Linked DNA regions of Caenorhabditis elegans. The protein of the gene in region 1 interacts with the protein of each later gene in a pairwise test. Each region holds a gene or a part of one and is shown on either strand. Other genes may lie near its edges. The genes, in order: F30H5.3, Y65B4A.7, abu-14 and abu-10.

Region 1 (10,421 bases):
CAGATGGGTATACTTTAGACAAATTTTAGCCACCGTGAAGGATACAAAATAAAGTCACAGTCTGGATCAAGGCTGCTACCGAAAAGTGTCCATCCCTGGATTTTCGTTCAAAGAATTTTCCTAGTAATAAATCTGAAGATCAAATTTGTAAATTTAAAAAATGGCTCTAAAAGCTTTAAAAGTGTTCCAACAAAGTTCAAATTTCTTGGCAATTTTCTCCTTTAATTTCATACTTCTGGGTTCTTTTAATCGGGAAAATAGACTCTATGGCTAATTTTTAGTGGCAAAAAAAAATTCAAAATTTCTGTTTGTAAAATTCAAATTTCTGTTTTAAAACAGGCTATTTTCATGGCTGCCTATTTGCCTGAATTTTAATTTAAATTAAAATCCGTTGCGAACAAAAAGAATCTCGAAAATTTATTGTCGAAACAAGAAAGAAGAGATGCAAAAACAGGTCATCACATTGTTTGAAAGAATAAGCGGGCGAAAAAAATGGGGATTTTTTATGGTGCAAACGCACCTACTCAGGGGAACAGTCACCAATCATACTTTGGAAACTAATGGCAATACATGAAAAACAAAGAGAAAAAAAAGGTCATTTTCAAAGAAAATTGATTGGAAAAAATTGGAAAAAATTCAAAAAATTAATAAATAATCACCGATATTAGATTTCGTTGTTGAGTGGCGCATCGGCGAGGTACTTGTCACGACAGACGCCGCGGACAGCGACCTGGTGTGGTGGACACTTGTCCTCACACTTCTTCATTATTCTCTCTCCGACGATTCGGAGAACTTGCACCTGACCGTTTGAGCATGGGCCTGAAAAATTGGGATTATTGGGAGGTTTTGGGGGTACCAGAAACACAAAACTCACCATTAGCCGCCGATTCCTTGTTCTTGTTCACAGATCCACGACCTCCAACAACCGGACGTCCTCTAACTGGAGCCGTCTCCTCTTCTTCTCCATCTCCACCTCCACTGACACTTGAGCAACACTGGAATCGGTTCGACAACGTGCTCTTCTGGCATTTGTATCCGGCTGGACAACTGTTTGATCCACTGTTGGAGCACTGAACTGGCGTACCGGTTGATGGGAAGAGCAGGGCACTTCCAGTGGCACAGCCGTTGGCTGCTCCGGATCCAGACGAGGATCCCGGAGAAGCCTTCGATGAGCAGCAGTAGTAGTTCTTGCTCTTCTTCGAGAATGTGCACTTGTATCCACTTGGGCATGGAGATGCTGTACATTGTTTTGGTGTCCCATTCACAACGTATGCGCTTCCACGATCACAAACGTCAGCGGCTTCATCGTCACCGTCCTCCTTTCCATTTGGCTTAGAACTGAAAGTGCTTGGCTTTCCGGATTTCTTCTCGGCGACGATTGCTGACGCCTTCCCACCTCCACAGCAGATGTTCTGTTGAGCGGTTTGAGAGAATTGACAGCTGAATCCACGTGGACAATTTGGACGGGATGGAGTACAGAATCTGGCGGCTTTAGTTCTCAACTCGAGGAATGGAATCTGTCCTGGAATTGGGCAAGTCGACATTGGTCGCGACATCTTCTTCATGCAAACATCCTCGACAGCCTCTTCGCCTTCTGGGCAGGTGCAGGTAGCGTCAAGGCATGAAGATCCACCTTGGCACTGTTCATCAGCTTCGCAAGCCTCTCCGATAAGGGATTTAGCAACACACTTTCCGGCGACCTCGACTTCGTTTGGTCCACAGTCTGGGAGACAAACTCCGTTGAGTTCGTGATGTCCTTCTGGACAAGAGCACACAGATTCCTTGCAGAGACTTCCAGTTGGGCACTGAACTTGGTTACTGCAGATGTCTCCGAGAGATTTCTTATCGAGACAGGCTCCCTCAACCTCAACTTGTTTTTCGGTGCAGCCCTTGGTAGGAGTTGTTGGTCCGACTGGCTCGTCGTTTGTGGTACAACAGAGTTGTGCTCCTGAGATGGCTCTCTGGCAAGAATATCCGGATGGGCAAGTGCTCTGACCAATTGCGCAAGATTGTGGTTCTCCGGTGATTCCGATGAAGGCAACTGAATCATTTGGACATCCTCCCGACATTCCACAGCATTGGAATTGATTGTTAGCGGTGGAGAATTGGCAGAAGAACCCTGTTGGGCAGTTCTGAGAGGCGGCTGTGCAGATTCTTGGAGCATTTGATGCCTTCTCGCGGAATGCGACCTGGTTGTTCGGGCATCCGAGAGCAGCGATCGACTTTGGTGTGGTGATTGGTGTGGCTCCACAGCATTGGTATCTCTGGTTAGCCAACGACCATTGGCAGGAGTATCCATTTGGACATGGAGCATTCGGTGGGTTAAATGGATCACATGGGGCAATCTGGTTGTCCTTCATGAACACATACTCATTAGGTGGGCAACCATCAGAGACAGAAGCGACCTCTCCCTTACAACAGAATCCGGTGGTGAACTCGTTTTGGGTGGATTGACAGGAGTAACCATTTGGACAAGTGATGAATGCTCCAACTGTGCAGGATCTTGGCATCTGGGAGGATTCTTCCAAGTAGAACTCGGCCTTGTTTGGACAGAGATGGTTTCCAGAGCAGCAGTATCCTTGGAAAGCGCCTGGAACATCGGACTGACAGGTGTACCCGGTTGGGCATTGGTTGTTGTTGCTGCTGATGGTACAACGAATCGGGGCCTTGGAGCTTGGTTCCTTGTAAAGAGCCTTTCCAGATGGGCAGAGATCTCCTGTGATCGAGGCACAGCAGTAGTATCTGTTCTTCATGGCGTTGAATCTGCAGAGATAGTTGCTCGGGCAGGATCCCTCCACATTGATCAGACACTCGCGGACTCCCATATCGGCAGCGTTGACGTAAGCCTTCTCGCCTTCTGGGCAGACATCCATGTTGGTGGCTCCACAGCAAACAGAGTTGGAGGACAGCTGATCGTAGGTACAAGCGAAGTTGGTTGGGCAACTGTTGGATAGAGCTGCATTGCACTCATATGGCATATTTGTGTTGGGGTTCACGTAGGCTACATCTCCAGGGGTACAGGCAGCTGAAAGGCAGAAGTTGTTACATTGCTCGAGGGTGGCGAAATTGTTGAGATTTCCGGAGCATCCGTTGTAGGTGAACTGGGTGCACTCCTTGGTGACAATATTGAAGTAGAATCGAGCAGCGGCGGATGAGCTGCAGGAGGATCCTTGTTGTGGTGGAAGAGAGCAGATGTAGGCACGAGTTGGGCAACAACGGTTGACAACTGAGCTTCCAGAGTTTACAGACGTACACTCGTGGGTTCCTGGGCACACCTGGGTGGTCGAGCAGACCATAAGCTGACCGAACTCGTTGCGTTCTGGAGTTCCACCATTTGGACATCCTCCGACTCCACAGTATCCTTCACAATCCTCGCGCGTAGCAAAGTTGTTGGAGTTTCCGTCACATCCATTGTACTGGTAGGATTCACATTCTTGGGTCTGAGAGTTGTAATAGTATCTGTAAGAAGATCCAGATCCGCAGGTGACTCCCTTATGTGGGGAAAGGGTACAGGTGTAGGCCTTGGTCGGGCAGCATCCCCACACGTATCCGTCGAAATAGCATTCATAGTTGACTGGGCAAGAGTTTCCAGCTCCAGAGTTGGAGCAGACGTAGTAGTTTCCTTGGTAATCCTTGTAGGCGTCTCCTTGTGGGCACTGTGGCTCTGGAATAATGTTCTCGCAAGTGTTCTGGCACTCCAACAGGGTCTCGAAGTTGTTATCGTTTCCTTGGCAGCCGGTGTAGTCGAAGATCTCACAGGCACGGGTAACTGCGTTGTACCAGTAACGGCGGACGGATTGCTTGCAGTCTCCGAGGCGGAGGGGTTGGGAGCAGATGGCTTCTGGAATTAATGTTTTGAGGTTTTTAGTGGGCTGAGGAACTGATGATAGGTCTAGGTCGTATTGCAATCTTAGCCTAGGACTGAGTAAACTGAGTAAAAAATTTAAAACTCTAAAACTTACGAGGTCTTGGACAGCAGACATTGTGATCTGACTGGCACTCGTGGGTACTTGGACAGTCGGCACTGGCGGAGCATCTCTGAAAATTTCATTTTTCTCGAAATACGAATTCGAACTCGCGAAACCTCCGGTACCCCCGGTGTTATTTACACTGCACATACCTGATTAGATGACCCAATCTTGAGTGGAGTTCCGTATTTGCATTGCAATTTGGCGCAGAACAACTCGCAATCAGCTGACGACTTGAAATTGTTGTAGTTTCCGAGTGCTCCGTTGTAGGTGAACGCGATGCATCTTCCCTGCTCCGCGTCGTAATAGTATCGCGAGCTCGTGGAGAAGGTCATGGAGAAGCTGCGCTTCATCAACATACCGGCGTCAAAGTTGGTGGATCGGACCAAGTCGACTGGACGGCCTCCGGTGTTGGAGCAGACGCTGGCGACAGTTGGGCAGCAGAGCTGCATGGATCCAATGGAAGTGCACTCGAAGTTAGATGTGCAGGAAGAGGCCGTCTGGCAGTTGCTGACGACTTCATCCTCATTCTGAGCGGATCCGGTGAGGTATTGTGGGGATCCACGCTTACAAGTGTCTCTACAATAGGATTCACAGTGCTCACGAGTCTTGAAGTTGTTTGGTGATTGCATCTCGGTCTCATCCCATGGGTCCCACATGAATTGTTCGCAGGTGCCAGTGACAGCGTTGTACCACCATCTTGGACGGACTCCTGCTGGCGCCGAACTTCCACTATCAGCTTCTCTCTTTGGTTGGATGCAGGTGAAGGCTCTGTTAGGACAGCAGATACCATCGGAGGCTGGATGAATGTCATAAACTCCTTCCATTGCAGTCTTAACGTTGGCCATTGATGTCGTGGAGGTGACACAATCATAGATATCAGCGATATAGATACCATCTCCTTCCTGAGCGTTGTTAGCATCGGTCGCGTAAGCACACGCACCTCCTCCGTTGGCGATGAAGGTGGTATAGTCGGTGGATTGAGAGGAGCAGAATTGAAGTGGGTTGATGTGCTCGCCCATTTGAATGTCAGCATCGTCTGGATCGGTCATGTGAGGGTTGCGAAGTTGGGACACTGGCATTGTGAGGAGATCATCGTCGTATCTAGAAGAAGTTGGAAATTAACGATAAGAAGGTAGCTAGTTAGGTTGTGACTCAGTATCAGACTGACTATGAGGCTTGGCTTTGGTTCAGGCTTAGGTTTAGGCTGAAGCTTGAAGTCACAAAATAGCTCCCACTGAATAAAAACTCACTCTGGAAGTGGGCACTTTGGCACCGGATCTCCGTCTTCTCCGGAATGAAGAACACAAACGACTCCGTCCCTGGTCTTGGCCTGAACATATGGAATTCCATTCACATCCTCCGGGCACTCGCATCTCGACTTTTCGCACCGCGACTCTGGCCATACTGCGGAGCACTGCTCGGCGTACTGACATCCAGACTCTCCTGGATTCTTCTTCAGGTAGCAGTATCCTTGGATGGCGACGAAGTTCGAGAGGCATGTGCAAGATCCTGTGGAGCAGAACATTCCCTGGAAATTTGAATTTTAGAATCTCGAAGAAGTTCAAAATCCACTTACAGTCAAGCAATCGGTGTTGAAGCTGCAAAAATCTCCAACTCTTCCGGATCCGGCAACTCCTTGCCGCTTGTACCGAACATTGCCAGTTCGGCACTTTCCGTCAATGAAGAATTGGCTCTAAAAATTGAGAATTTGTTAAGATTATTCAACAACTGGAATAGATTTTATACTTTCGGACAAATCTTTCGTTCGATTTCCTTCTTGACAAGATTGCAGATAAGGAACGCGTTCTCGTGAGTGTCGGTCTTGCTGAAATTAGAAAAAGTCGTGTTTAGTAACAGCTTCCTTATTCAAAAGTGGTCTTACTTTGTGGCAAGATCGCAATAGATGGAATCAATAGTCATCTCCTCATCACACTTATCACCTTCAGTCGGTATCCGACATCCGGACGTGTCACAACCATCGCCTATCCTGCAAATCGGCTTCTGCTCGACTGCATATGTGCCTCCTGAAACAAAAAGTTTTACTATTCGTCACCACCTGCTCCCAATCCTCAAGGCACGATCGTCTGCGCTCGCGGCCGCTTTAACCCAAATCGGGCAACAGTCACGCCGCCGCCGCCATATTTGCGGCGAATCGAATCTCAGACACTGAGAACCCCCCACACAATGTTTGCCAATTTTATTGTATGTGCTTGGATTTGTTTTGGAACGCGGCGCGGCGATAGAGAGAGAGAGCACTAGAAACACGAAAAAGGTATTATGCAAGTTGAACTCTCTAGTCTGGTGCTCTAAAAATAGAATTTAATTGGACTTGTGACCTGATGGGTGTTTTGATGGTCTGGGTCTGGCAGTTGTGAAGCACCTAAGACCCCCAGGAAGCTTTAAAATTCATGTTAGTGCTGATTTCGTAAAGGCATAGGCCAGTTTAATGCAAAATCTTGGGCTAGAACGAATATTTAAAGACTAGATTTATTTTGAACAATTCTGAGAATAGAATCGTGCTTTGATTTTTAGGTAGTGATAGAAATTTTGACGTTTTAAGTTTTCAAGAGTAAAAAAGAGATGGCTTGCTGTTTTTGAGTGGGGTTTTGAGGTAAAAGTCAAATTTTCAAAAAAATTCCATAAAAACTACCGACTCACAGCATACTTTTTGTATAATAAATAAGGGTCAAAAACCTACAGTGGTGAAACTACTCATTTTTAGGGTTAGAGCTCTTTAGGCTAGACTTGTAGGAACACATTCTTAGTTTTATAAGTTCTTCTCCGACAACTAAGTTTGCAAAAATTATATTTTTATAAAAATATATATGTTAAAATAGTTTCAAGAACTTTATGCTGATATTTCTGAGTTTAAGTATTGTGCTAACCCTCGTAAATTGAATCAAAATTTGAAGAAAACTTTCAAGTTCATATTGCTAGCAAGAAAAAGTCCAAGTGTCAAGTAGCAGAATTCAAACTCTAAAAATTTGAATTAAAGTATTGCTTATGTTAAAGAATTTGATTCAAAAGTTTTCAAAGCAACCATAAAAAAATCCGGCAAAAAAGAAAAAGCTTACCTGCAAGCAGGAGTAAAATAAACCAGTTACGCATTGCTGCGGAATATCAATTGATTGATGTTTGTGATTATTATATAATGAGTGTTCAAAATGAGTAATTGAATACAATAAAGAAGGGCAATTTGGAAATGTGATAGAGACCTGGATATATGAAATGGCTCTTTTGTTATTGATTGAAAATCATACGAAAATAATCAGATAATTCTTTGATTGCCTTCTGATGATGATGGTGCGGGGTGGTTCGAATCCAAGACGAGTTGCAATCGAATGGCTTTTGTGTTGAGCTGAGTCTGCTGGTCAAGGTCAGGGGAGGGAGCGAGGGAGGGGTCACTATATTTGTGTGCTCGCAGAGCCAAGAGAGGAGGGGTTTCTCTTGGTGTTGTTTACCCGCGGTTTCGCAAGATTCTCGTTCGAGAATACAGTTCGGGTCACTCGTGTAATGCGATTTACATGTTGAGAGCGGTGGGGAGGGGAGAGAGAGCAACATCGTAATTGAGCCTGGTACATTGTATACGGAGCATGATAGGGGCTTATGATCGGCATTTCGGAATTTTGTATGATATCATTGAGCTTCGGTTTTCACACTCTCAGTAGTCATACTCGCATTCTCTAATTTTCTTTGAATAGCGGGTTAAAAAACACATCTGATAAGATAAATTAGTAAAAGTCCCCAGAAACATGTGCGATATGTATGCATAATATATGAAAAATCTGTGTTCAACTAAACTTGTACTAGCTCTATAAAAAATGCTAGATATTTCCAATGTTGACAACCTACATCTATGTTGTCATTGGATTTCTCAAGAATTGTCAACTGCCAAGATATTCGTTATATCGTCTTCTATAGTTTGATAACTTATCAGTTCACGATATTTTTTTGGATATGACGTGTAGCCTTACTCATTAGTACCATGGGCCATATTGAACACTAGTTTAAATTTTCATTCATTTCACAATTTCTTCGTCTTCATGAGAAGTCTCTGTTTTTCATACTGTTGCCACGTAGCGTGAAGATTACCAAAGGTATGAAAAGTCAAAGTGGAGTGGAACAGCGCAAGACTAAGTACGTTTGAAATTCAGAAAAATCGGTAAAAATTTTAAGGGGTAAGATTCTCGAAAAAGATCACTGAGCTTTTTGGTTTTCGTGAAACTTGAATTATGAGCTGATTCCGAACTTGAATTATGAGCTGACATCATAAGTTTCTTTTTTTTTAATTTCTACAAAAAATTTCCACGAATACCTTAGGATTTGCGAAACTGATTTTCGTGAAAAATCACCGCTTCGAAAATGGTTTTTTGCAATTCGCAAAAATTTTGAAAGTAACCGTCTTCTTGAGTATCCAGCAGGATGATCCTGTGATTTCAGCCCGCTACTGCACAGAAACACTTTCTGACATCCTTAACACCCGAGGTTTAGTGTATTTTTGTGTAGCATACTTGGCCCAGTTTCCTCTGATCCGCGCGGGCATCCATCCTATCTCATTATAAAGTGTACGTCAAGAGAAACTGATCTTCGCACCAAACATATGTATGTTTTACTGTATGTTTAATGTTGGTGGCGGCGGCGCTGGTTCAAATATTGTACAAACCAACACCGCTTCTCTTCTAATCGGGGCTCTCGCGCGCGCTCACAATGATAAGATCACGCGCGGCGCGGAACTCCAAAAAGAGTGAACTTTTTCGCCGGTCTCACCTCTCTCCGCGAGCAAATCATGACCTGATGAAAAACACGCGCAGCACCGGTGCGCCGCTTTTTTTGTTCCGACTGTTTGTTTTGGGTGGCTAACGACTGTTTTTAGGAAGGCGGGGGGAGTTGAATTGGAATTGCAGTGGATTAAATTGAGAGTTTCTTTATTTAGAATTTTTGTTATAGAACATCTCCGGAGCAACAAAGAGACGGGGGAAAGAAGAAAAAGAAAAATAACCGTAACGAGACAAGGTGTATACCTCGGGAGAATTAAAAAAGACAACTGGGGAAAGAGTAACAGAATCTATCGCCTTCGTTGAGCAGCGCACGGAGCATACCATGGGCATTGTGGTTCTGAAATAAGAAAAGTTGGGGATTTGGAGAAAAATCGTTGTCGATTGTTAATCTTCAGAAACCCCGTTGTGAAAAAATTATTTTTTAAGTCAAGATTTGACTAAAAATGCTAATTTTTGTTATTTCTGAACTTTTGCAGTAATTCCGAACTTTCTCCAATGCTGCAAGCTCACGTGTTTCCAGGCTGTCCCATTACGGTTTGATCTAAAAAAAAATGCGGGAAATTTTCGCCCAAAAAATGTGACGTCAGCACGTTCATAACCACGCAAAATCAGTTGAGAACTCTGCGTCTCAACTCCCGCATTTTTTGTAGATCTATGATACGTAGAGAAAACCGAAATGGAACGCTCTGACACCACGTGCAATCTTGATTGTTTGCAAATTTCTCATAATTTAAAAGAATTCTACGACTAGAAAAAACATTCTGAAAATTTTGGACAAATTTCAAAAAAAATTTTCTTGCGGGACCTATGTCAAAGGCGCAACTCAAGAAAAAGTGTCCAAATACTTGTAAGCTATAAGAAAATCATACCACACTGTGCTTCGCCACCTCTTTCCACCATTAGATAGCCTCTGGGGCAGGACTCCGAGCGTTTTACCCTCCCGTTTGGGCAGCACATTTTGTTAATGCAAGTGTGACCCTGAAATAAACAACGCTTTTAAGTTCCCGAATCTCATTGCTTAAGTTACCTGTGGGCATCCTTTAACTGGATTACAGACCAAAGGCATATTATTCTGTGGGAAGAGCATCGGCACTCGACCGTCTGGACAGGTGTACTTTGCCAGATGGGGCTTCACTATAACAGCTCCAGTAGTAGCAGGTGCTCCGACGATTCTACCACCTTTTACGATTCTTCCAACTACGGGTGGTGCGATAGGCTTGCTCAACGTCACTGGGGCACTGGAGCAGCACACATAGGATTGTATCATTTTTGAGTAGACACATGCTGAAGGCTTCGGACATTTCTGCTTGGCACACTGGATTAGGGTGTAGTCGGAAGATATCACGGGCTGTCTTGGTGCTTCGCAGATGTTTATATTGTCTGGAAGAATTGGGATATTTTGGAAATGGCCAGTTTTTTAAGTGTAAAAATTGAGAGAGCGGCGCCTCACGCCGGGAGAGTTTTCGGCTACACACCGTAGTCGTGCAACGTAGTGCGTGGCTATGTGGAAGCGGCCGACAAGTTCAAGGTTCTGCGCCGAACTATACACGCGGATAAGTTGCGGCGCTAGTGGCGGCGTGAGGCTGTTTGAGGCGTCTCACCGGCGCCCACATGGAAGCCGTAGTTCCACTATTCCAAACTGCGAAAATTCCTTGAAAACTTACTCAAACAC
Region 2 (6,321 bases), on another chromosome or scaffold:
AAATTTTTCTCTATTTTTCTAAAAAAAAATATCTCTAACCAAAATGTTTATCCTCCTCATATTTCTGCTGGTAATAGATATTCTGACACCTCTTCATACATGTTCGCTTCTCCTCGGCCTCAAAGAACGTGGCCGGCGAGCACGGGACTCCACACGACAGGTCAAACGAGTAGGGACGGCAACCGTCACGGCCACCTGGAAATAGAGATGGCCTAGGTTTTCGAAAAACTCTTCCACGGGCTTAGAAGAATCGTTATTGTTTGGAAAAATCGATAATTTGCAAAAAATCGATAATTTGCAAAAAATCGATAAATTGCAAAAAAAAAATCGATAAATTGCAAAAGTTGATAATTTCTAGAAAATTCGTTCAAATTTTTGGGGAAAGCTTATTTTCAAAAAAGTCGATAATTTGCAGGGAAAATCGATAAATTTCAAAAAATCGATAAATTGCAAAAATCGATACTTTTGAGAAAAAAGTCGATAATTTTTTTTAGAAAAATCGAAAATTTTCTAGAAAAATCGTTAATTTTCTAGAAAAATCAATAATTTTCTAGAAAAATCGATAATTTTCTAGAAAAATCGATAGTTTGCGGGAAAAATCGATAGCTTGCAAAAATCGATAAATTGCAAAAATCTTCTAGAAAATTCGTTCAAAATTTGGAACAAGTTAATTTTCAGAAAAATCGATAATTTTTTTTAGAAATTATTACAAATTGCGTGATATAAAATTCAATCACATTGTAGATCAAAGGTTCCTAGGCCACCTATGACGTCACCGCTTACCTGTAACAAGTCCCTGATTAACCCAATAGGTCAAGGCCTTCAGTGGATCTCCGCCGTAACAATTTCCGCACACCGAGCAGCATCCAATAATATCCTCCTCGGACAAAAGTGACTTAAAAGTTCCATTCGAGTGAATACAGGCACGGTCGGAGGCGACACCGGCGGCGGCGACCGCGAAGCAACTCCCGCATCCTCCCTGATTTGGAACATTCGAGATTGACGGGCAATTCGGCCATTTCTGACGAGCGTCGAAGTTTTTCGGAACATCGGAGCTGTTAAAGTTCTCAAGTTCACTGCAAAATTGCAATTTTTGGGATGATGCACCATGTTTTGTCGAAATAATTCAGAACCCAATGCACCAGATCTTACGCGCAAAATTTCAAATTTTTAGGTTTTGAACGCAGCCCGGCAAAGGGTACATAAGTGTAAATGCGCTCTACCGAACCGTGTGGAAGTCATCATTCACGCGCCTCTGGCTTCACTCATATTTTGAAATGGAAGATTTTGCCGAACTAGGCCACTTGAGCTCGGCCACGGCCGGGGTAGATTTACGGCGCGTTGCGGCCGGGGTAGATTTACGGCGCGTAGCTCGGCTTTAAGGCCGGAAGCCCGTGGAGTTTACGAAGCATCAGATATTAAGCGCAAAATTCTTTCCTGGTGTTTTACGAACATTTTGCTGTCTTTTTAAAATTGTACCCAAAACTTTTTAAAACTTCTGGAAAAATCCAATTATTCAGAAGTTTTGTTTAAAAAATCGATAATTTTTAAAAGGAAAATATAGATTTTTCTCGAAATTTGGTAATTTCTGCATTTGCGTGTAAAATATGATGCATTGCAGGACTATCGTATGCATCACAGCTTACGCGCTAAACTACATGCGGCGAGAGCGCGGAGCATCGTTGTTTCCCGCTCAAATTTGAGTTAACTCACTCCAAATGCCGCTTCATCGCATCAGACTCGAAAAATTTTCGAATTTGTTCCACGTATTCCTCGACCGCCGTCTGATTTCTCGTATATTTGAATCCGTAAGATCGATTTTTGACACCAAACTTATTGAATTTGGCTTTCCACGTGGTCTCCGGCGAGTCATTGACTTGACGAACGAGTTTTCGCAAATATTCATCATTATCCCGTTTATCATTTGCATCTGTCACATATCGACGGTAGAGGTAGAAGCTACCGTATACCAGACCGAGAACTGAAAATTCAAAAAATTTGGGTCTCGCCGCGAAAAAACGTGGCGAAGTTTGCACATGGTGCATCGACAGCAAAAATCGATAATCTCTTGAGAAAATCGATAAATCATGACAAAAATCAATAAACGTTGATTTTTCAAATAATAAATTTGGATAAAAATCGATAAGTCTTTTAAAAAATCGATAAGATCGAGGGAAAATCGATAAATTTCAACTACCGATTTTTTTAAATTGCGCGTTTGATTATACACGGATTTATGGCTTCCCTCATATGGAAGAGTTTGCCGAACTAGGCCATTTTGGCTCGGCCATATCTGGGGTAAATTTACGGCGCGTTGCGTGTCGCGTCGCGGCTCGATTTTAGTTGTAAAACTAAATGTATTTATCCGTGTGGAGTGCACGACTTTCCCACGTGTTGTCCGGAAGGCGATTGTCAATGGAGCGCGAAAAGTTCAATGAGGAAGACCAGAACCCCGTGATTATAAAATCAATAAAATTTTGAAAAATCAATACGTTTTCCCACGTTTCTCTTCAATTTTCTCCTTTTTAAATTTTTAAATTAATCATTTCAAAAATTCGAAAAATGTTGTTCTCGTCGAACAATAAACGTCTCCAAAAGATTGTTCTTCCATATAATATCCATTGCAAAGGCTGCACAACAACGCTGACTCGTCAAGAAGCTCAAACTGTGAGCACATTTTTGGAAATATATTCAATTGAAAATATCGATTTTTGCAGGGAAAAGTGATCAAAATTCAAGACGAGATGTATCATATTTCATGCCTGAAATGCTCGGTTTGTCAGGTAAAACATTGCAATAATCGATAATTTTAGCGAAAATCGAAAAATTCGATAAATTCTTAGTGAAAATCGATATTTTCTGATTCGCTAAAATTCGATAAATTTTTAATCAATTCATTCGATAAATTCTTACAAAAAGCGATAATTTATTTTTGCGAAATTTAATAATTTTTTTTCAAAATTAATTTTATAACATGTGACACACGTTTCTGGCTTCCCTCATATTTTGAAATGTAAGAATTTGCCGAATTAAGCCATTTTGACTCGGCCACGGCCGGAGTAGATTTACGGCGCGTTGCGTGTCGCGTCGCGGCTCGGTTTTCATTTTAAGTTGTCCGTGTGGAGTACACACACACACACTCCCCTGCTTTAAGGCGATTGTCAATGGAGCGCGAAAAATGCAATAAGGAAGGCCAGAAGCCTATGTAATTTGTTTTTGCAAAAAGCATTCCTCATTGAATTTTTCGCGCTCCATTGACAATCGCCCGCCGGACAACGCGCGGGAAAGTCGTGCACTCCACACGGACACGGGGTTCTGGCCTTCCTAATTAAATTTTTGCGCTCCACTGACAATTGCCTGCCGGACAGCGCGTGGAAAAGTGTTGTGTACGCCACACGGACAAATACAGCAGTTTTACAATTGAAAACGAGCCGCGACGCGACACGCAACGCGCCGTAAATCTACACAAAATCTCTCCGACCCAAAATGGCCTAGTTCGGCAAACTCTGCCATTTCGATTTATGAGGGAAGCCAGAATTCCATGCACGGACAAATACATTTAGTTTTACTACAAAAACCGAGCCGCGACGCGACACGCAACGCACCGTAAATCTACCCCAGATATGGCCGAGCCAAAATGGCCTAGTTTGGCAAACTCTTCCATTTCAATTTATGAGGAAGACAGAAATCCGTGAAAATCAATAATGTTTTTTTTTTTTTGCGAAATAAATATGTCGATTATTGATTTTTCCTTATTTCATTAAATTCCGTCAAAAAATCAATAAATTTCTCCAAAATTCCAGACAGTCATTGGCATGACTCCGTGTTATCCAATGCCCGCGCCGTACGGTAACGCGCTCCGTTGCGCGGACTGTCACCGGGCGGCCAAGTCACCAAAATGCCACGCGTGCAAATTGCCGACTTTTGAGAGATGCGTGTCGGCGTTCAATGTCCACTGGCATATGGCATGTTTCAAGTGTAAAGCGTGTCGCCACCCGATTAAAGGTCAGTGTATGCAAATGTGCTCCACCGAACGAAACCTATTTTTCAGGTCAAGAGTACGTGGTTCACCAGGGATGTGCCTACGATGAGGATTGCTATCACCATACCATTCAGAAAATCGATATGGAAAATGATCCGGCGAAATAAATTTTGCAATTTTCAATATTTCGATTATCGATTTTTTTCTTGGTCTCGGAGTGTCGTAGTTTTTTACTTACCTGCCAACAAGAGTAATATCACGCTAGCAATTGTGGCGGCGACCTGCGCCAGCCGTTTCCGCCGACTTCTCGTCTCAAATGTGGTCCGTGTCTGCTCTTTGTCGGTTGGGTACATTTCTGCAAAAAAGGTGCCATTAAGTGGGCGGAGTTTAACAGTCTAACTTTGCCGAGTGTCGTAGTTACAGTTTAGGTGCCGAACCAGAAAAATTGAAAATTAAACAAGAGACTACACGGGCTAAGATTATCAATAGGGCGCTTTGCAATTTGATCTACAAAAAATGCGGGAATTTTTGCCCCCAGAAAAACGTGACGCCAGCACACTCTTAACCATGCAAAATCAGTTGAAAAGTCTGCACCTCTTCTCCCGCATTTCTCGGAGATCAAACCAAAATGGGACACTTTGACACCACGTGCACGCAGACTACACGGGCGAGGATTATCAATAGGGCGCGTTTGCAAACTTATATTCAAAATTATTGTGGTGATTATGCTTTTGCACATACGGCGTAAAATGAGGAAATCCTCTGAGCAGAAGGACAATATCAATGGCAAAACAAACAAAATTTGACACATTTTTGCTTCTCCCCCCTGTCCCCGCCCGGAACAAAATACGCCTTAGCAGCAGCACAAATGTGCACACGAAAACATGAGCACAAACACCGGAACACTGCGCGGCTGACCAATTGACCAGAGACAAAAAGCTCAACGTTCAAAATTTTTGAGTGAAATTTCGATATTTAACAAGAGGACACCCCATTACGGTATGATCTACAAAATATGCGGGAATTTTTTGCCCAAAAACATGTGACGGCAGCACGTGCGTAACCAAGCGAAATCAGTTGAGAACTCTGCGTCTCTTCTCCCGCATTTTTTGTAGATCAACGTATTCAAGCCAAAATGAGACACTCTGATACCACGTGAGAGGAGAAGGGCATGGGAAACCTAGATGGAAGAGAAGTGACGTCACATGGTGGCCTAGGAAATCAAAGTGCGGTAGGTGGAAGAGAAGTGACGTCATTTGACCTAGTGGTCGAGCATGGAAGAGGGATGGCGTCACCTGGCCTAGGAAATTTGACGGCCAAGCCTAGATTAGAGGGCCTAGAAATGCTCATTCCAAGGCTTGGAAGAGGTGTGACGTCACTGATGACCTAAGAATTTTAGTGGCCAATTCGGGTATGAAATGGCGTCATTAACATCGATGGCCTAGAATATTTCTCGGCCAAACTTACCAGTGGTCTTGGAATTTTTGGGACTAGGAATGGAAGAGGAATGACGCAAACACATGTCCTAGAATATTTCTCGGTCCAGTATGGTGAAGAAATGACGCAACTGATATTGATGGCCTAGAAAATTTGGCGGCCACGCTTTTTAGTTACTGTTTGTCATAAGTTACAATCTCAACAAACTTAAAAAGAATTGCCAAAAATTTTCAAAAAGTGAAAAAGATCGAAAATCTCAGCATAATTACAGTAGGGATTAAGCATGAGACGCAAGAAACGGCAAACTACGGACAGAATTTTATGAAAGTTTTTGGCGGCTTTTTCATGTTGTTCAGTTGCGATTTTTTTTGGACAAATAAAAACTCGCTAAATTTCGAGATAATCGTAGAAGTAGGGCTTGCATGTAGGCATTGCCTGCCTGACATTAAGGCGGCCTGCCTCTTGCCCAGCGTGAGGCCGGCAGGTTTCAGGCAACCACGCCTGCCTACCTATCAACTGAAACAATGATCAACGGTCGAATCTGGTGGTCTGATTTGATACCTCTTTGTGCAACAAAAGAATTTATTCAATAAATATTTTGAAACGTTTTTAAAATTTGCACAGATTTGTTGGAGCACTTTCAAGAAATACAGAACAAATTTTCTGGAAGAGTTTTTCAAATTTCTAGGCCACGAGGCACCTCTAGATGGCCTAGAAATGTCAAAATCTGGTTTTTATGTATTTTTGAAAGGGGAAGAAATATTTGTTGGTTGTACGGTCCCAAAAGTCTGTTCTGGCTACGTGGCCGCGAAAAGAGAAAACTAGGCCATCAATTTTTTCCGCGGCCACGTCATAACTTTGCTCAAATCATCTTCATTTACTATAATTTTTGCGGGGAATTT
Region 3 (6,830 bases), on another chromosome or scaffold:
CGTCATACATTCGGAGCCAGAGAGTCATTGATTGGAAAGCCTATGAGCAGATTTGTAAGGACTTTATATTAGAAATGAACTTCATGAACTTTTTGTTTCAGAGAGCCTCGATCGCTTCCCGGGAGCCACGTGTAAGCTTGATGCCACTTGGTATTAATGTCTTCGAAGCAAATTCATCTCAAAGGAATGAGGTATTTGGATTGATATTTCTTGATTTTTAAGTTATGATTTTTTCAGGTCTCAGAATTTCTGAACAATATCACCTCTGGAGCAACTCCAGGCAAACCATCCTCTACCAACAACTCGCTCAATACCACGGGCAATCGTCAGCGAAAAATTCGATTTTTCGAAGTTGAATCCGCAATTCAGGAGGCGCGAGAGTCAGCTGAAGCTGATGGAATAGCTGCTTGTTCTTCTTCAGATGTTAGGCACAGTCCTATTTCGGATCTCAGTTTCAAGCCAACATCAATTTTATCGACGAAGAAGGCTGATAGAAAAGTATCATTGCTTATTATCCAATTTTCTTTCTAAAAAAAGGCTTTTCCAGAAGATCAATCTTGCCAATTGTCCATCGAAAACTCCTAGAACTGTTCTAAACTTTGATGAGACTGATAGCATGAACGATTCGTTGAATCAAGAAATGGAAGAAAAAGAAAAGGAAAATCACATTCAAGTGATCAGTTTTCAAACGTTAGTTAATTTCTAAAATTTAACGATTGTAATAATTCTTCATCTTTTCCAGAGTTCTATCGACACTTTGCGATCTAAAACCAGGTCTCTCCAAATATCATATTGCACTTATTGAAAAGTCAATCGAGAACTGGAAGAATATCTCCGCAGTGAAATCGCCAGAGAAAAACTCCCATGGTCCAATTCCGATTACTCCTCTCGGTTCGATCTTGGAAGCTATGAATATTGCCGAAGAAGATTCCGATGTGCAGGAATATGTTCCAGAGAAAAAGAAAAAACGACGAAGCTCAATGATGAAAGCTGGTGCTGTAAGGGTATGTGCATTTTTATAACAAGCATGTGCTCTTTTTTCAAAATTTTTAATTTTCTATCGAATTATGGAATTTTCATTCATTAATTGAAAAATTCTTTAGTGTTTGATTCGATACTTTGTCATTTTTTCAGAAAGTTTTCCGAAAAAAAAGAGTTGAAACTAATGCTACATTACTCATTTCTAGGCTAATTTTGAAATTTCGACGACTTTTTTTTGGGTGACAATTAAAAAAGATCAAGGAAAAAATCAAGAGAAACCAATGAATAAAAAACGCGAAAATTTTGAAACTTCTGTCGAAAATTCGAATTTGTTTCAGTAACTTCGTTTATATTTGCAAAATTCGGAATAAAATCAATAATAAATTTAGAAAAACTGTTAATTTGGATACATTTGTTTTTCTTCTTTTTAAATTTTTTTTTCAGCGTCGCTCAACCCTTCGTCGCTCAGCTCGAGGACTATTCAAACAGGACTAAACAATACAATTTATTATATGATGATTGATTACTGTGAATATATGTGATTTTTTATTTTATGTTTTGCCGAATGAAAACATTTCTTGTATAATTCTTAAATTAGAATAATTTATTGTCGAAACTCAAGGACAATGAAACATCATGAAAAAGAAGGGAACAATAATAAAATAATTAGACACCTCACATGGCTACCACTTATTTACAGACAATGTCATAATAAAAGTTATGTGAGAAGTGGGATGGGGAAACGAAAACAGAAGTTGTCGCATAGAAAACGCGGATACGGTAAGAATTCGTTCATAGAATTCAGGGAAGGGGATGCTTAACGACGACGGCAGCATGATCCACCGCATTGAGAATATCCAGATGAGCATCCACATCCAGAAGAGCTCGATTGGCATGGAACAACGATTTGAGCGGCTTGTTGACAGGTATTCTGGCAGGTTTGTTGGCAAATTGGCTGGCATTGAAGAACGGTAGCCGATGATTGGCAAGTGTTCATGCAGGAAGATTGACATTGATTCTGGCAGTTGTCTTGTTGTTGGAGGACAATGACCTGTAATATTGATTCATGAATTAATGGAAAATCAATATTATTACCTGTTGTTGGTTGCAGCTGTTTCCGGAGCAAGAGTTCGAGCACTGGGATTGACATTGAGAGTTGCACTGTTGGACACAGATTGGAGTTGGGCAGGCAGACTGGCACTGGTTGGAGCACGAGTTGGAGCATGAGTCTCCTTGTTGAGCGACGATGACGATTGGAGCCTGGTTGGATGTGCAGCTAGACGAGCAGGATGGCATGCATTGTGGCTGGCAGGTTGGCTGGCAGGCCTGTTGGCAGGAGGATTGGCAGGACTGAATGCAGATTGGGGTGCTGCAGGAGCTGGAGCACTGGTTGTTACAGTTGGATGAGCATGAGTTGTCCTGTTGAACAACGATGATTTGCTGATTGTTGTTGTTTCCTCCACAGGCTGGAGCACAAGCAGATTGGCAGTTGCATGTTGGGCAAGTCTGTTGGCAGGAAGACTGGCATGATCCACATTGGTTCTGTTGTGGTTGGAGAACGACAATTTGTGGAGCAGAGTTTCCGCAAGAGCTGGAGCATTGGTTGTTGCAGGATTGAGCACAGATTGGGGTGGCACAGGAGCTGATGCATTGTTGTTGGCATTGGTTGCAGTTGTTGGTTTGTGGAAGAAGGATGACTTGGTTGTTTCCTCCGCACTGTTGGTTACAAGCTGGCTGACATTGTTGGATGCATTGGGATGTTTGGCATGAGCTCTGGCACTGTTGCAGACAAACTGGGATGCATTGCACGTTGTTGTTGTTTCCGCAGCATGAGTTGGAGTTGGATGAACAGCACTGTCTCTTGGCACGCGACAACGCCAATCCGGTCTCGTTCTGCAGTTATTTAGGGCTCTTTTGTTTGACCGTAAGGAAAGACAGTGTGCTTAGATTTTTGCGCGCACACTCTGGGGGGCAATCGCGGAGAGAATCTTCATGCGCCCTTTGTTTACACTATCATTTTTCCTGTTTTTATCGGAGGGGAAAGAGCAGGAGAAGAAGCCAGCTGACCCCTTGAAATGACCACTTCACTTTGTATTAGTGAGGTCTCAAGGAATGGCCAATGACGGGAATAAATGAAATAAGAGTCTAGACAGTCATAAGGAAGCATCATAGTTAAAATTGAAAAGTTATTTAAACAAATGATTGCTGAAATTTGGATCCTGATGTACTAGACGCTATGCTTCAATTGGGCATGATCAATAAGATCATGATCATAACCAGCTTGTTCCTAAAGCCTATTCATTATTCCTATTCATGCACATTGTGCATTCAATACCCACATCCGCGCCGTGTCCTAATGGTTAGGTACACAGAAAACACGAAAATAATAGTGAGCATAAAAGAGGGAAAGTATGACTGAATGCTTAAATAAATGTTCAAAAGTACAAAAGTAGTATTTAAAAAAGAAATTTACCTTGACAGTCTCTTCGTCAGCGAAGACGAAGGTACTGGAGAGGGCCAGAACGGCGATAAGAAGAATCGAAGCTGCTCTGCGGGCTGCCATTGAAACAAAAATGTGGGGAATAATGAGTTGGGTAAAAGAAGGAGAAGGACTAGAACTCGAAGGCTCTGTATTCTGTCCAGATGGCACTGCGTACCTTTTATATAGCGGCGGGAGATGGGTGGGGGTAATGGGGAGGAAGGCGCCGGCGGTCGGTCGGTCGCGGCACACTTCGACTCCGCCCCGCGCGGAGCCAGGAGTGCTTAAGCGTTCGAAACAACTCCTTGAATCGGAGGATTGAGGGAGAGTCCAGTACCCTCAAGAGATCTCATCTTTTTGCCTGGAGATAGTGATTGAGACAATGAGGACTAGACGAAAAACATTTCATAATTCATACTCGGAAACCGGAGGTCCTCAAAGCCTTGAAGGGTACTGTAGTTTTGAAATAACCTGTATGACTTGAAGCTTGTATACTTTAGAACTATTCACCAAATGAGTGGATTATTTGTTCAGCTTTGGTAAATTATATAGCTACCAGTAAATTTTCGGAGTAAACCAAAGAATATGATAACGCAACTTGGTAGTTTTTTGAAGCGCATGCTGAAATAAAAATGGTCACACAGCGAAAAATAATTTAATTATCTTTCTTGATTTGTGATTTTAAAAGTTTTTACCACGACTGCTCTAATTTGACGACTCATATCTCGACTGTCATGAGTTATATCAAAAAATGTTCTACTATTGATATATAGATAAACATTTTACACGCATTTGGTTTGTTGACAATTTTTTGATAAAACCAAAGAGAACCGAGATATAAGCTTTCAATGTAAAGCAAAGACAATTCAAAAAACGCTGCTAAAATTGTTTATTTTTCAAAATCTTTCAGTACCTGGAAATATTAAAATCGGTACAATACTTGGATTTTTTAACGTTTTAGATGCACATAATTTATTATGTGTGTGACTTCCTTTTTCAATTTTTCTAAATAAAATTCCATGACCAATGCTTCTAGTTTCCAAATGTTCCGGACACTCTTAGCTTAGATATCAAAAATCTCTGCTTATCACTAAATACAGTATGCTCTCAATGCTCATTTGCTCTCTTCTTCTACCCGCATACTTTTTCATTCTCCTTATGCCCTTTGTAGGAATGTCGTCCCTGCTGACCCCCTCTCGCGAGCAATCATCATCCATAAATAGCAGCAACCGCACTGATTATCTTGTTTAGTTCAAGTTGCGCAATTTTTCGCTTCAAGTATTTCGAACATCTATAAAAAGATGCTCGGAGAAGACTGCTTACATAAAAACACATGTTTGTCGCTTTTCGTATCTCCAAATCTAGCCTGTTCTTTATCTCTTGATCTCCCCTACTTCACAGTGAATAAAAACATTTTTCATTCACATTCTTCATGAACCTGATGAAAAGTTGGTCAACTAAAACTCACACAATTGAAGTATTTGCTTACTTTTCGTATTGAATTTAATGGTCACTTTACCAATGCAATGCAGCTGGTTGCCATGTGAATTCAATTGTGACGTGGAACACGTGGAAAACAACTAGAAACTCCGAGAGGACCGGATTTCTGGGTCAGACATTGATGAGTCATACGGAATCACATCATTTGACAGTTTTAACCGTCTGGAGGCTCCCGGTTGGCAAATAGAAATTTCAATTGAACGCATTTCGTTGTGAGCAGCAATGTATGTAGTTTCTTGTTTTTGACGAGAGCTTATCACGTACAAATTCAGACTACGGTAAAATATTTTCGAAGAGGTACGCATCAATTGTATGTTACACAATCTAGTACCAATTTTTCCTGTTTATGTTTCAGGGCTCGTCGAAGTTGTCAGTAGTAGTAGATATACTTGAACCAATTATGATATCAACTTCCCTACTCATAAATCATGTCAATTTGATATTATTATGTGTACTATAGCTCCCTGCAATATACCTCGGTATTTGCCGGTTAATTTCTGCCTAATTTCGAATAAAAACAATGTACAACTTCTCTTCTAGTTGCACCTTTACAGAAATTCTCAAATGATTCATCCCGTCATTTGTCGGTAAGTCTCTGAACATAAGTTCAATGAATCAAGGTAAGTCAACATGAGTCGTTTCTTCTGTCTTTACTGCGCAGAGCATCGTAAACTGATCACCGAAACAGTTTCCAACTGTATGACTTCTCTTTTTGAGCTAGAGATTTTCCGGTTTAGCTTAATTGAATGGAACATTGTTTGATATTGCAATTGTGCCTATTTATGTTCTTTGACAATTTTTGATAGACATCAAAATTTCAACTTTTAATATATGTTTTGAAAATAGAGATTTTCTGTGAATGTGAAATTTCTCAGGAAAATAGCATTAAATTTTTTTTTTACAATTGCTACTGAACATTTGGAACGGAGTAATTTTTGAACCAAAAATCAAAAAGTGTTGTTTCTATAGCCAGTTTTGGAGCCAGTTTTCCTGTTGTAATTTCCTCTCAAACGATGTTTGGTGTATGTTTCAACGTGTTCTAATCCACGTGTACTTTTCCATGCGCGACCTACATTCAAACAATGATTGCTTTTAAAAAACCGGATCGGTGCAAAAAATGCGTAATACGTTGACACGGTGGGAGGAGGTGCACCCAACATTATAATACTTTTCTTGGAGAAAAGAGAAAGAGAGAGAGAGAGAAGGAAATGGGTGAAATGAGCACATGTTTGTCTGTATATTGTCTTCTCAGGAAACATTTGTGCAAGGAATTGCAAGTGAGAGACCCTAAACACCCGGAATTTTCGAAGCCGACCTTATTTGCCTCGTTTTGAGATGAACACAGTTTTCACGGATATTTGACTCCTATCAGTGACGGGAGTATTGCGGGGGATGCCTTGTCTTGGATGAACAACATTTTGAACTTTAACAATTATTTTTTTTTCAAACTGCTGTCCGAATACAAATTAAAAAAAGTGTACTATTTCAGAAAATAATCCTTACCTTCAAAAGTTCTATTAGTTCTGAAATACTGAGAACAAGACTCGATGAAATAAACTTACGACATAAGTATTTCTCATTTAAGAATAAAAAGTGACCACACGCCTACATCGCCTACACCTACATCGCCTATAAAATTTATTGCTTACCTAATTATTGTGGTCCGTATAATATATTTTTACGACAGCCTATGTAGGCCTATGTAGGTATCCACGTTTGAACCTTTATCAAAGCAGTATAATCAACTTTTCGGCATGATCTTACAATCATAATAATTTTTCCTGAATTTCGGGTCTCGCAATATGTAGATATTGATGGTTTATGTTTCTGATTCTAGCAATAACAGTCTACAAGACACCACAATATTTGC
Region 4 (6,466 bases), on another chromosome or scaffold:
TTCGTGAATTCTGAAGTGTAAGGAGAAAGTTTCTGTAAGAAATTCAATACAAACTAAATTCGAATTAAATGAATATGTTTTTGCTTCTTTTCTTTTTTTAAATTAAAAAGAATTTTCTTTAATTCAATTATATGAGCTTGTTTTCAGCGGGATGTTCAATATTTGCAGCAATATTTGTTGCAAGATTTGTGTATGCGAATGTGCACAAAGAGCAAAAAATCAAAGGTTCTATTTGATTACACACACTTGAAGATTGGACTACACTCATTTGCTGCTCATCTTTGATTATCAACCCCCCCCCCCCACAAAAAATTCTTGACTCATTGTTACTTATTTAATTTTTTGCTCGGCCTGGTGGTAGTTCAAATAAACGAAGCGGAGCACAATACGGGAATCCAGAATTGTATCGCGTGCAACTGTATACTTTTGAGTTGAATTGGGAGAAGGTGGAAAAAATGTCGCAGACTATATTTTGGCAACTCTGGCGGAGAAAAAGAGCTCGGATAAAGATCATATAGCAAAATGGTGCTTGTGAACTTTGAACCAAATCCTGATGGAACGCTGGGAGACACTTTTTGGAAACACTACAATTGGCACATACTGATATGATTTCATGATTAAAAAATTGTTATGACAGTTTAAAAGTTGGAAATATATGACTAGATATATTATATTTTGCCAATTTATTTATGCAAAAATGGTCACAAGTTAATTTTTTTTTTAATAAATAGAAACCGTGTACTCCACTGACAATCAGGCAAAAAAAAAACAGTTTCTGGAAATAATAGAAGATTTTGTTATACTTTTGTAATAAAGTTACACGCACTAGTGGACAAAAATGAAGACTACAGCAAACTTCAGTCATTTTTTTTTTATTTTTGAAAACATTTTGAAAAATTTCAAAAAGTTTCTTACAAAATCTTTTCATCTTGTGAAAAGGCTTGCAGCTACACCGTAGATCCATATTTAAAAATAACAGAAGGTTTTGTTTTATAGAGAAACCATTCACAATAAATACTAATACCTTGATGTTAATTATGAAAAAGTCAGAACTCCATGTTTCTTACGTGAAAAAAAACACTGAAAAAAACATTGTTGACCATTTTCAGAAAATAAAATTTAATGGAAACATACTTTTAGTGAATGAGTATTTAATGTAAAACTAGATCACCCTCCCCCCCCCCCCCTCCCAGCAAACTTTTGAGCTCATCCCAATGGTCTGAAAACACGCATAATTCGAAAACGTTCCTCATCACATCAAACGAACATATATTTCAAGTACATGCGTTTTTGCGGGCACACTGATAAAACAGAGCCGGCACAGAGTGCTCACGTACCGGTTCTCGTACGTTGCTCAACTCTCCTGTAACATGACCACCCCTGAGCTTTTAATCCGATTCCGGCGCAACTTTTTGTGCTGCTTTCCTTCATCCTCAGACACAAACATTGCAACCTTTTATCCAGCCGGCAATCGAACTCAACTCAACCCCTCAACCGGTATCTAAAGTAAAGGCAAGCGGTCTGAGTAATGAAGAATGTGATAATTGGGGTTCTTTGTATTTGTTTGTTGGGAGGGAGAAGAATCAACGAGAGATTGTGCAAATGCAACAGCTGAAAGCGTTAACCAGTTTCTCAGCTTGTATTCTTCTATGACGCGGTCTCTATTTACGGACTATTTGCAAATAACGCATCACTTGAACTTTTCAATGCAAGTGTTCGGAGATTGAAAGTTCTGTGTCACTACATTCACGTATTGTTGAAAACTATAACGGATATATTACAAGACGGTCTAGACAAAAATTGGGAAAAAAAGCTCTACTGAAAATGGGATATTAAACTACTACCTTTCAGAAATACTTTCAGAACAATATTACTTGATACAAAAGAAAGATCTTCAAAATAGCTTGCTGGTACTCCAACTAAAAAGATATAATAATCAATTTTTTTTTTACAAATCGGTGCAAAATAGTCGTTCGTTTACTAGTCATGCTTTGAAAAAATTTAAGCTTAACAATGCAACCTAACCTCGATTTTTTTCAAATTAAATTACAATTTCAAATGAGAATAAAGAGAACCTTCTACAACTTGAACATTCTGTGAACTATTGGAAAACACTGGACATTGAATGAAACAAAATTTTTAAACATTCACATTTGCGACGTTGGGCCGTTATTTATTGTCTCGAAAGAGGAAAAAAATGTCTGACAAATTGGAAAAGTACAGTAGATTCAACTGTCACACTTTTTTGTAAAGTAGGGCCTAAAATTAGTAGACTCGAGTTTTGAATTGGTGAGCCAATATCTCTCTTGACACAATTGAAGTGTTTTTAAACTGGTTAGAAGACTAGACTGAAATATATTATAGCTAACATCACTTTGGATAGTATGCGTCTTCGGCAAAATTTCATGTGCGCAAGAAGCCAAAAACAAACAATGTTTATTTGTGTGCACGCATTTTTTCAGCACACGGTTTTCATTTTCTCTGACTAAACTTTTTTCCCCCTCCTTACCATATTCCCACAGGTGCTCTAATCCGATCATAACTACTCATCTGTGTTTGATGCACAATTGAAACTGCCTTCGTTCTTTTTTGTCGCCTGTTCTTGCGCATGCCGGTCTTACCCTCTTGCCATGACTCCTCCCGGCGGGCGCGTATAAATATGAGGAGCAAAAGTTGAGTTGTCAGTAGTAGCTTGGCTTCGAATACTCTCTAACAAAAGCAGCAATGTTCCGCTCTGCATTTTCAATTTTTGCTATTGTCGCCCTGGTGAGATTTCTTTTTTTTTTCATTCCATTTTATTTATAAATTCCCCGCCATTTTCAGGCACTTTCGGCACCAACTCTTAGAGAAAAGCGTCAGGCTTGCTCATGCGCCCCAGTTCAGCAGCAACCATCGTGCTGCCAACAATCCACCATCAATGTCCAGGTTCAGTACACTCAGGTCCAACAAGCTCCAGCTCAAGACCCATGTGCTTGCCAGCCACAGCAGCAGCAGCCTGCGTGCAACTGTGCTCCAGTTCAGCAAGATCCATGTGCTTGCCAGCCACAACAGCAGCAGCCGGCTTGTAACTGTGCTCCAGTTCAACAAGATCCATGCGCCTGCCAGCAACAGCAACCATCCTGCGATTGCGCTCCAGTTCAACAGCAACCAGCCTGTGACTGCCAGGTAGGCTGTTAATGTAAGAGCGACGAATAAAAGTAACCCATCTTTGCAGCCACAACAACAACCAGCCTGTGATTGTGCTCCAGTTGCTCAACAACCAGCTTGTGACTGCCAACAAAACCCATCATGTGTGACCTGCATCCAAATCGAGATCCGTCAGCAACAAGCTCAACAGCCAGCTTGCGATTGTGCTCCAGTTCAGCAGAACCCATGTTGCCAACAAGCTCAGGTACAATATATTTGGTAAATGTTGGATGAACTTTTGAAGTTTCAGCCAGCCTGTGATTGCGCTCCAGTCCAACAGCAACCATCTTGCGATTGCGCTCCAGTTCAACAGAACCCATGCTGCCAACAAGCTCAGGTATGGCATTTTGAACAATTTTTTTTAGTCCGGTAATTTCAGCCAGCCTGCGACTGTGCCCCAGTCCAACAGCAACCAGCCTGTGATTGTGCTCCAGTCCAGCAGAACCCATGCTGCCAACAACAGGCTCAGGTAAATCACACTCCAGAGTTTTCCATTAAGTTTGTGAATTACAGTCAACTTGCGACTGTGCCCCAGTTCAACAGAACCCGTGCTGCCAACAAGCTCAGCCAGCTTGTGATTGTGCCCCAGTTGTTCAGCAAAACCCATGCGCTTGCCAACAGGCTCAGGTAAAGACTATTGCTTTTTGACCAGTAAATTAACTATGGATATCTAAACTTCCAGCCATCCTGTGATTGCGCCCAACAAGCTCAGCCAACCTTCCAAGTCCAAGTTCAACAAGCGCAACCAATCAATCAGTGCGTCCCAGCTTGCCAGCCAGCTTGCCAGTCATCGTGCACCGCTTCGTACACCAACCAACAATCCCAACATTCGTCAGCTACTACTTCCTGCGATGCTAACCAATGCGTATGCCAACGCGGATACGTCAAGTGCGCCGAGCAGACCTGCTGTCTTAGATACAGATACACCAACCGCAAGGCAAAGCGATCGATCGCCTAAACGAACTCATTTCTGACCATGTCTTTCTTTTTCGACTTCACGCAAACTATTTGTACATTTCGGTAATATTATTGCCATTACATAAAGTAGTTTTATATTATTTCCTTTTACACAATGAGTATATGCAATGAAGATATAAATGAAAAAATGATTAAGAATCATTTCTATGATGTTCAAATTACCAATTTTCGTCTAAATTACAACAAAATCACTGAAAAAGATTTGAGAAAAATGCAATTTTCTTTTAGGAAACTCTATTTGAAGTTTGAAAACCAGAAGATTTTCACAAAGGGTTGGTTCTATCATTATCTAAAACAGCAATCGTAGAAGAGATTTGAGAGTTTTCTTCAAAACTAAACTTTTTATATTGTGTTCAATATTGTTAACGAATTTTTGATCTTTAAATTTCCCATTTATTTTAAATCTAAATAACCTATACAATAATAAGCGCATTTGAGGAGTCAAATAAATAGACACATTTCAATTGAGATCTTCCACAATAAATAAGACACCTTACTAAAACATTTTTGGCACATGAACAAAGTACTAAGACAATAAATTAATGAATGCAGCGTTTCTAGAGCAGCTCAATATAGCTGACAGGCAATTTTCCGCGTTTTCCTCCTTTTTCAGCCATCACATATTCCGCATCCATTCCAGGAAGGCGATACACGATGAGAATCTGCAACAAGAGCAGACGTAATTTCACACAATATTTGGTTTCAATAGGGGTCCTCCTCTCAAGACTCACATCATTCTGGGTGACGCTGATCTCTTGTGGCAGCACTGCATCGTAGTCCATGATCACTTTGGCTTGCTTGGTTCCCAAGTCATCCGGCAGTAGGCCACTTGGCTGGAAAATCAGTAATTTGAAGAGATGTTCGTGATGGGAAATAATTGAAAATCACTGGAACGGAAACAACGCTTTCCACGAAGTTCTTCCCCAACTAACCTTGGCCGCCGCTATTGCCGCCGCCATAGTCCTTCCGTTTGGCGGGTCGCCACTATTGTTCACCAGTATTGCCGAGCTTCCGCGAAATGACATGGTGCTGAAAGCAATTTCCTTAAATCTGGGGACAATGAAAAAAGTTTGGCAGAATAGAGAAACATTTATTTGAGTTCAAATCGCGTTTCGTCGTTGTGTCACACATACTAAGACATTCACACAGCAACTGTGACTAGAAGAAGCCGATCAACGGCGGTTGGGGGGAGAATTGAGAGTAAGAAGAAAAAAATTAAACATACTAATTATGCTTATCGATTGGTGGAAATGACCGGGAGCTGTTAAAATATGAAATACATTACAATATAATACATACAGAATACATTGAAAATTTAAGAATATCGAAAACTTGAGCTAATATTGAATTTCTTGGCGAATTTGAATGACACTGGATTACTCAGAAGGAAGTAATGTTAAGTAAAAAGAAAGAGAAAGAGGAGAGAGAAAAAATAATATATAATCAAAATCGATTAAATTTGAAATAAATAGGGAGTCAAGATCACAATCACGAGTGGCAAACATAAAATCAAAGTTCGGGAGTCACTCGTCGTGTCGGTTTCCGTAGTACATCGGTGAATCGGCGAGAGAACTGAAATATTTGCATGACACGTACATTCACTACAACGAAATAAAAAAAGCAGTGGCTACCAAATGAATTGCTAGCGGGAGACGCATGCGACATGAAAACTAATGAGCCTAATTTTGAAAGAGAGACTTACCCGCTCAATTCCCGCTGCAAATCGGCCATGAGTTGATGAGACTGAGCATAGAAAGACATTTGTGCCTCGACAAAATCACGAAGACACTTCAACTGATTGTTCTGAAAATTTTTATACATTTTAAATTGGAAAAATCCCATTTAAAAAACTAACGTGTGCGGTTTGAATTCCTTCTAGCAACAATTTGGTAATCTCTGATTGCTTGTCAAACTCTGCTTGAGCAACACGCACGTCCGCCTCTGCCTGAAACTTGTGAAACGTTTCAAAAGTTTCAAAATATAATGTTTAGATATGTAACTAAAAGTTTATAAAGTACATAGAAACGGGAGGAATAACCAGACAATAATGAAAACCAACAGTGTTACAACATTTCTGAAACAAACCTGCTCAATTGTAAACCCTCCAGAGGTTTTACTATTCGTCTGAAACAGTTACTTTCTTTTTTAGATTTTTATTTTTAGAAAATTAATTTTTCACAAATTAAGAAAAAAATCACTCACCACTGTCTGAAGATCTACAGTTTTTGCTTTCTTGAGTCGGCTTTTACATGCATCCAAATCGAGACGCTTGCTGTTCAGCACTTTTCTTTCTTTCTGAATT

The links.
Region 2: the proteins of F30H5.3 (region 1) and Y65B4A.7 interact in a two-hybrid assay, tested with the Caenorhabditis elegans proteins (one large-scale study listed by BioGRID).
Region 3: the proteins of F30H5.3 (region 1) and abu-14 interact in a two-hybrid assay, tested with the Caenorhabditis elegans proteins (one large-scale study listed by BioGRID).
Region 4: the proteins of F30H5.3 (region 1) and abu-10 interact in a two-hybrid assay, tested with the Caenorhabditis elegans proteins (one large-scale study listed by BioGRID).

Annotation. Positions count from the first base shown.
Region 1 is NC_003281.10:504,839-515,259, forward strand, and holds F30H5.3 (BPTI/Kunitz inhibitor domain-containing protein), read right to left. Parts: upstream 7,380-10,421; 5' UTR 7,080-7,379; coding exon 7,046-7,079; intron 6,130-7,045; exon of another isoform or gene 6,038-6,129; intron 5,996-6,037; coding exon 5,854-5,995; intron 5,797-5,853; coding exon 5,718-5,796; intron 5,665-5,717; coding exon 5,548-5,664; intron 5,500-5,547; coding exon 5,222-5,499; intron 5,073-5,221; coding exon 4,121-5,072; intron 4,039-4,120; coding exon 3,963-4,038; intron 3,842-3,962; coding exon 875-3,841; intron 820-874; coding exon 665-819; 3' UTR 403-664; downstream 1-402. Other genes in the region: T22F7.3 (BPTI/Kunitz inhibitor domain-containing protein), read right to left, coding at 9,037-9,086, 9,619-9,727, 9,777-10,129, 10,414-10,421.
Region 2 is NC_003279.8:643,467-649,787, reverse strand, and holds Y65B4A.7 (LIM zinc-binding domain-containing protein), read left to right. Parts: upstream 1-2,545; 5' UTR 2,546-2,562; coding exon 2,563-2,667; intron 2,668-2,717; coding exon 2,718-2,783; intron 2,784-3,803; coding exon 3,804-4,005; intron 4,006-4,051; coding exon 4,052-4,149; 3' UTR 4,150-4,162; downstream 4,163-6,321. Other genes in the region: Y65B4A.2 (Peptidase C1A papain C-terminal domain-containing protein), read right to left, coding at 40-195, 784-1,076, 1,714-1,981, 4,221-4,337.
Region 3 is NC_003280.10:9,223,614-9,230,443, forward strand, and holds abu-14 (Activated in Blocked Unfolded protein response), read right to left. Parts: upstream 3,602-6,830; 5' UTR 3,545-3,601; coding exon 3,455-3,544; intron 2,875-3,454; coding exon 2,077-2,874; intron 2,033-2,076; coding exon 1,799-2,032; 3' UTR 1,573-1,798; downstream 1-1,572. Other genes in the region: ZK1067.3 (uncharacterized protein), read left to right, coding at 1-54, 102-191, 238-498, 548-690, 743-1,004, 1,426-1,476.
Region 4 is NC_003284.9:3,795,499-3,801,964, forward strand, and holds abu-10 (Activated in Blocked Unfolded protein response), read left to right. Parts: upstream 1-2,683; 5' UTR 2,684-2,724; coding exon 2,725-2,766; intron 2,767-2,823; coding exon 2,824-3,165; intron 3,166-3,214; coding exon 3,215-3,391; intron 3,392-3,436; coding exon 3,437-3,523; intron 3,524-3,565; coding exon 3,566-3,655; intron 3,656-3,699; coding exon 3,700-3,813; intron 3,814-3,868; coding exon 3,869-4,144; 3' UTR 4,145-4,243; downstream 4,244-6,466. Other genes in the region: F35A5.8 (SH3 domain-containing GRB2-like protein B1), read right to left, coding at 4,722-4,826, 4,896-4,997, 5,097-5,193, 5,867-5,967, 6,020-6,109, 6,250-6,288, 6,367-6,459.